Xenopus tropicalis: one gene and its partner. The protein of the gene in region 1 interacts with the protein of each later gene in a pairwise test. Links are inferred from orthologs where the notes say so. Each region holds a gene or a part of one and is shown on either strand. Other genes may lie near its edges.

The links. The genes of interacting proteins can lie anywhere in the genome.
Region 2: the proteins of exosc10 (region 1) and mphosph6 interact in binary tests that used the Homo sapiens proteins (3 or more experiments, as listed by UniProt). The link is inferred for Xenopus tropicalis from reciprocal best matches to the Homo sapiens genes EXOSC10 and MPHOSPH6.

What each region holds. Positions count from the first base shown.
Region 1 is NC_030683.2:64,875,928-64,879,185, forward strand, and holds part of exosc10 (exosome component 10), read right to left. Parts: intron 2,185-3,258; coding exon 2,060-2,184; intron 1,758-2,059; coding exon 1,659-1,757; intron 1,554-1,658; coding exon 1,479-1,553; intron 1,387-1,478; coding exon 1,293-1,386; intron 1,186-1,292; coding exon 1,112-1,185; intron 246-1,111; coding exon 77-245; intron 1-76. UniProt on the Homo sapiens protein: Catalytic component of the RNA exosome complex which has 3'->5' exoribonuclease activity and participates in a multitude of cellular RNA processing and degradation events.
Region 2 is NC_030680.2:63,898,000-63,902,347, reverse strand, and holds the start of mphosph6 (M-phase phosphoprotein 6), read right to left. Parts: upstream 2,822-4,348; 5' UTR 2,786-2,821; coding exon 2,738-2,785; intron 770-2,737; coding exon 657-769; intron 86-656; coding exon 1-85. UniProt on the Homo sapiens protein: RNA-binding protein that associates with the RNA exosome complex. Involved in the 3'-processing of the 7S pre-RNA to the mature 5.8S rRNA and play a role in recruiting the RNA exosome complex to pre-rRNA; this function may include C1D.

The DNA of each region.
Region 1 (3,258 bases):
AATTTAATTTCACCCAAGGCTGTTACTGATGTTGCTGGTAATCGATTGGTTTTCCTTCAATGCAAGACAAACACACCTGCAAACATCTTGAAGTCTGACTTGCTATAATCAAAAGGTGTAAATGGTGCTTGAGAAACAGGTTCCTGGGTTTCCTCAGAATTCTTGATGCGCTTCTTGTCAGATTTCATTGTTTCAGACCCTGGTTCACTAGACACACGTTCCCGTTTTTTGCTGGATTCTTCATCCTTAAAAAGGAACAGAAGAAATTATGCTTCAATAAACTGTAAATAACCCACATATGCTGCGATCATTTGTTGCTTGCATTCTAGAATGAAAAAAAAAAAAGCCTAGAAAGAAAAATAAAGCTTTCAGCACAAGCAGCATTACATTACATTACAAGTACAAAGTACAGGTATAGGATCCCTTATCTGGAAACCCATTATCCAGAAAGCTCCGAATTACGGAAAGCCCGTCTCCCATAGACTCCATTTTAATCAAATAATTCAGAATTTGAAAACTGATTTCCTTTTTCTCTGTAACAATAAAACAGTACCTTGTACTTGATCCCAACTAAGATATAAATAATCCTTATTTGAGGCAAAACAATCCTATTGGTTTTAATAAATGTTTTGTTGATTTTTTAGTAGACTTGAGGTATTGCGATACAAATTACGGAAAGATCCCTTATCCAGAATACCCCTGGTCCCGAGCATTCTGGATAACGGGTCCTATACCTGTACCATCAACTCCAGGATCCTAACAATCAGGGAAGTACAGATGTTGCTAACATACCAAGACCACCTGATAGACCTCACAGGTACAAAGAATTTGATCATTCATGCAGCAGTATATGTATCTTATTACTAAATCAAATTAGAGAAATAAGTGATTTTTCACGACGTTCCACTGAGGGCTACATTTATTGGTTTGAGGAAAAACTTTAAATGGTAGAATGTTTTGCAATGCACAATGTCACATAATAAATACTGCACAACAAAAATCATGACATATTCCCTTTAAAAGGGAATATATGACTAAAATTTCCTTTAGGCTTAAAATAGCAATTGTTAACACCACAGGTGCTGTGTGGCTACAGTTATATATTACTCACCTTTGCTTGTTCACGGACAGATTTCTGATTTTCTACACTGCTCTTAAAATCCCTTTTAGCTTGTTCCCGAGCAGCTGTTGCATGAAAAGTAAATGGAACACATGAGTGAAAATGTTAACCATCATTTAAAAATATTGTACCTGTAAAAGAAATCAACATGCACAATAATTTATATATTTACCCTTTTCTTCCCTTTTCTGTCTTCTGGCATCTTCTTTGGCTTTTGCTTCTTTTTCTTGCTGTGCCAGGCTTACAAGCTTCCATTGCTTACTGATCTATAAAGTATTTGAAAGTAAGGTGATCTTAGGCACAACTGGAATCTTACTAATGCACAAGATATGCATTGCTGAATGAAGAATGTACTTACTTCAAACATTTTTGTATTGGGGTCCAGTTTAGCTGCTTGTGATACATGAGCCCGACGATCCTCAGGTGGCAAAAACTATACAAGAGCAGGTTTAAGAATAAAAGGTAGAATACATTACTTTAGATGAGGGCTAGTGTTTTCTAGTCCAGTATACTTTAATAGAAAAATTTAATAATTTACCATTTTGAATGGGTTCTCAAAGGACTCCAAAATATTTCTTGCCTTCTGTTGTGAAACAGGCCAATTCTTTGATGGCACCACCTCTTCATCTTCAAAACCCTACAACAGGCAGCTAAGAAGTAAAATAGTGCAGGCCCTTGTGATAAATACTACATTGCTTCAAAGTGGGCACATAGATTTTGTTGCTAAAAATACCTCAGGGGGTCGAAAAGAGTGATCTATAATAAGCAGTTTTATATTTATACACTCCTAATTTCATTTCTGTAAGAAGAACAAAGCTTAAATCTCATTTAAATAATTAATATAGTCTACCTAAATTGTCTCTATGTAAAACCATATACACATTATCTTATTAATACAAAACAGCCTTTTTTTTTTAAGCCTAGCAGCAATAGACTTACATTAAATATTGTAATGCTGGCTCTGGAGAGTATGAAAGCTGGATTCATAGGTACAGGAACAACTGGCTCTTCATCAGTGAACAGACTTCCCTCTGAATTCTGCAGCCCTGGGAAAACACACAATACTATACAGTTTCTTTACTTACTGCTGCATGGTAAGCTATGATTTATTTAGAATTTAAAAATATACCACAGCAAAATGATTGTACCCACTCCCTAAGATCATGAGGAAGATGACCTGTTAAGTATATATTGAAAAATCATTATTATAAAATATCTGTACCTGTGAGTAAACCTGAATTTGTTAAAAAGTGGCAAAATTTGGGCCTAAATCAAATTCTTGATGGAAAAGGACCTAGGGACACTTGTGAATAAATATTGGCTGTAGCAAGCAATGCTAGTCAGCAGCAAGGACCAGCAAGGTTTTGAGCTGTATTAAGGTGGCCATACACGAGGCGATTTCGCTCGTTGTGCGATGAACGATTATATCGACAAACGATCGTATGGCGATCGAGTTCCCATACGATATGCCATCCACGGGCAACGATAATTCGGGAAAGATTTTGTCGCATCATTATCGTAAAATACCTACGATCGTACATCTACGTACGATCGATGTCGTTGCTGGCAATCGTGACATGCGCAGAGAACAATCGTTGAAAGACAAATGTCTGACACTCACACCAACTGGCAGATTTTATCGTTAAACGACAAAAATTTTTAAACCTGGCCGATCGATTTTGGGGACGTTAATGTCGGCTCGTTTAGTGGGCCGACGATCGTTCGTACACCACCAACTATACGATAACTTAACGATAGCATCGGATCGTTCGGGAATCGGTCGTTTGTAAGTTAAAAATCGGTCCGTGTATGGCCACCTTTAGGGTACTAACACACAGAGAGATTTGGTGCCTGTGGTAAATGTGTCACCACAGCCGTCAAATCTCCCGAAAATGCCTTTCCCTTGCCTACTCTTCAGTATGCCGCAAGTAAAACATTGCTAGTAGTGATGCGGCTTAATCATAGGACAATGCATGCTTTTTCCCCACAAAAAAGCTGGATCACTGGAAAACCAAAGTTCCCAAGCATTCTGGATAATGGATCCTATTCCTGTATTACATAATGTAACAAGTTGGAAGTTTCAATTAAAAACAAGGAAGCCTTTTTTCCATAATAATCAACCCTGTGTTGTATTATCA
Region 2 (4,348 bases), on another chromosome or scaffold:
CTCAGTGTTAAAACCTTTGAAGGACATTCTGCCATACAGGAAATCTTCACATGGCAGAAAACTCCTTTCTTCAATGATATAACTCCTGCAAATTAAAGGAAATGTATATTTAGGGAATGCTATATTTTAATAAATTTGATGGCTTTGAAGGCTGATGTACAAAAAAGTCTTTGTGGACTGTGCCTCCCTAACCCAGTATTATCATATATATCATATTATCATGTATAACACTCAGGTATAAGTAGTTTTTTATGCATTTTTGTTAACATGATACAGACACCTCTAAATGGAGTTTGGACATCATTATAATTCCTACGTTAAACTAAAAAGTTTTTTAGTTGGACAAAGTATATACATCGGACTGCTGTATGTGTGTTTTAACGTGCTAAGGCAGGGCTGTCAGTTGCAGTTCCCATGAAGAGTATTCACCTTTAACAGGTAGCAAAAATTATGCATTTAAAATATAATGTTAGCATTAGTAATATGTGTTGCTACTATCTTACATGAGGATAAGACTAATATCGGACCTTTGCTTGAAGTCTGGCATGTTAGAATTCTTTTCTTTGTGTTGACAGTATGACATTTTTTAACATAATTTTATGGTTTCCTTTGTCATATTAATTTATTTGTTTTGAATGTATCTATTTGCCTCTTACTCTTTCTCTTTAAGTTCTGGTAAATCCAAGTACCAGTGCTCATCACTGATTATCTTCTTCTCATCTTCTTCTAACTGCTTTTTGGTCTCTGCATCAAGGGTGCGCTGCATAAACTAAAGAGACAGACAAAATAGATAAATATATACAAACATAGGTATGTTAGTCTTGTAATAAAGTCCCTCACAGTAATATAAAATAACAGGCAAAGAAAAAACTAAATACTTCAGAACCTAAGCTTGAAGAAAATAAATGAATTAAAAAAGCGCATCTTTAAGTTTTTCCATAAACAAATAATCACTTGATAATAAGGTCATCAAATTAGTAGTGTAAAGATGATATGAACCTAAAAATAACATCCCTAATAAAAGAAATTGTACAATACCATGGTGTCTGTATGTACAGGAAGGTCATATCCAATATCTTTAAGCAAATAATAATTTGATTTTCTTTGTAATAATGAGACAGTACCTAGTATTGATGGTAACTAAGCTAGCATAAATCCATGTTGGTAGGAAAGCAATACTATTTTTTTTTTGTTATTTTTTGTTGTTGTTAACATATAGTAATCCAGACTGTAGAAAGACCTCAGATACAGAAAACCACAGGTCTGATGCATTTTGGACAATATATCTCAACAAGAAACCAAATATGCAACACATTCTTAAAATGAATATATACAATTTGGCATTAAAAGCACTTTAAATCAGTGAAGTCATGGAAACACTCGTAACACCATAACATTTTATGGTATAAAAATGGATCAGAAAATGTGTTATTTTATAGTGAGTTTAGTCCAGTGAACCCTTGTAGGGAGTAAAACTTTAAAAAAATATATATATATTTGACAGACTATTGTCCAAATTAAGTCCATTTTTACAAAATTTCTACAGCACAATCAGAACTAGTAGCAAAACTCTGTCACAAAGCTGTCAATCTTATAATACAGGTCATTCACTCTAAACAAAAAAAAAAAATCATATTTCTAAATCTGGATGGAGGCATAATAAGATGCCATAAGCATTTCTACAGATCATAAATCTCTGAGGTGGCTTTTAATGTAAATATTTACAGGAGAAGGAAAGTTACAATCACCGAGGGATGCTAAAATGTTAGGTGCCCCCCAGTGAATGTAATAACTTACCTGATGCCCGGGGTGGTGCTCCTGTTAGCAGAAAACTGTAGTTTCTAATTGGGGCTGTCTGGGACAGCTACTAGCTGTCATACCTTTTAAAATCAGCACAAATACAGTATAGAAATCTGAAATTTTACTATAATAAACACAGACCATTATGGAAGTGAACAGGTCCATAGTGAGACCAAAGACAGGACATGGCATTTTAAGTTTACAGAGGCCCAAACAGACTCCCCAAAGGCCCAATAAATAGTGTCTGTCTATGTACGGCATGTTACAGCCACCCTCTGGCATTTGCCAGTCCAAGTCTGTTAGCGAATTACCCTCAGTATGTAGCCCTTGCTTATTCCCCTGGAGAGAACAATTGACCGGCAATATATGGATATTGAATAGTATATAGGCAATATATGGATATTGAACTAGTGTGTGAATACTAATTGGCACCACAGTGAATATTGCTTTCCTGATTCTTGATCTTGGTGTATTGTAATGCTGTGTATTATATGGACAACATGTACCCCTTCAATACACAAATACCTACACTATATACACCTACAAATACGTATATATTGCCTCGATATCCATCCTCTCTATATCCAAGACTAAAAATGAGCTTAGACTTTAGCGATATATACATATAATATTGCGTGTAATACGGGTTTTTTGTGATCGAAATACTCGTGTATCGTCAGCATTAGTGTTGTAAAACCACTGCATTCTCGACAATACACTGTACTGAACTTACAACCCGCAACCGATCGATAACATAACCATATGTGCGGAGTATATTTTGGCTACTGTAGGTGAATGTCCTAAAATGGACACCGTACATGCGAGAGGGAACGTACCAAAAGCCTGTCTGACTGCTAATACATACACCATGTTTTCAAATATTAACACTTCCCTTACTACAGATGCGCATTGTCTACCGATGCCCACCAATAATTACCTTCATACGCAGCAAGTTTTTGGACAGCTTTCCAACTTCTGCAGCCATGATGTGTCAGCCGTGGCAACACGCTACCCACTTTCGCTTCTTCCTTCACACGCTGTCCCAGGAATGAGAATCGAACCCCTGAATCGTCGAGCAGGCTTTAACAGGACGATCAGTCTCTGAGAAGCCGTTGCTAGGTGACCGAGACCCGCTGGTTTATAATAGCTACAAGCACGTTCGGCCCAGGTAGTTTCTGGGGAAAGTGTGGTGCCAGGAATCCATTTGTAGTTTACAAAAAACGAACTACGTGTATAAAAAAAGGAAACCAGTCTATTGGCTTACCATTTCTACCAGGAGTGCAGAAACTCTCTGGCTTTTCTGTGCCAGGCACTAGGGTTTTACATCTTCTAAATGAAAAAAAAAAAAAATGAAAACAAGTAGGTAATATATATGATGATGCTGATAAAATGAAAGTCTATATAAATTGTAATATTTAATATTATATACATTGGTGTAGCTAGATTTTAGTGTGCCCTAAATTATAGGAGTCTACCAAGATATATTGAAATTGCTTATTTATTAGAGCCTTAAGGTCCCCATACATGTTGAGATTCACTTGCTTGGCGAGATCGCCAAGCGAGCGGATCTTCACCCAATATCCCCACCTACGGGTTGGCGATATATAGAGATGTAGCGAACTGTTTGCCGGCGAACTAATTCGTGCGAACATCGGGTGTTCGCGAGTTCGGAAGTTCGCGAACTTTTCGCGTATGTTCGCAATTTGGGTTCGCGTGGCGTTTTTCCGCAAATCCCGTTTCCATGGTGCTAATAGTGCGAAATAGCAAAAAACGCCGCGTATTTCCGCTAGGTCTGCCAGCTGCCTTTGCGGTTTTACGCAACAATGTGTCAACAAAGTATTTTTCAGATAAAAATAGATCGATATCAGCTCGATATCAGCAGCTACTATTGGCCTGTGTATGGGGACCTTTACAGTTCCCATACTTTACTGAACCTGTCTGCAATTGCAGGGTCTACTTCTGTAGGATTATACAACAAAGCTTCTTTTGTACTAAATCATTATAAAGGCTGACTACACCAGAGAACCGTCAGGTATACTGCGTTGTATAGGTTGGGTCCGGAAAGCCGTTATCTAGAAAGTTCCAAATTATGGAAAGCTCATCGCCGATAGACTCCATTTTAATAAAATAATTCATTTTTTTTTTTTTTTAAATTTCCTTTTTTTAAGATTTTTTAGTAGACTTTAAGATATAGAGATGCAAATTATGAAAAGAAACCTTATCTGGAAAACCCCAGGTCCTGAGCAATCTGGTCACATACTTGTACCACAAAAATCTCATCATGCTACTGCATAGCAAGCAAGATTTTGTAGCATGATACAATATATGATCCTCCATTGTGTTAAGTTAAAATTTCCCGGATGACGTTAAATATTTTTTTATGCATCTGCACCCCACAGTCAAAGTATTTCAATGAGATAAAATAAGTATATCAATTTTTATCTAGCTGAATGAAAATGGAACATGCAATTTTCTCTTCTGACAAATCTGTTAAGTAATTTAGAGAACAGATTTTAATAGTTAAATTAGATATACAGAATACAGTCTG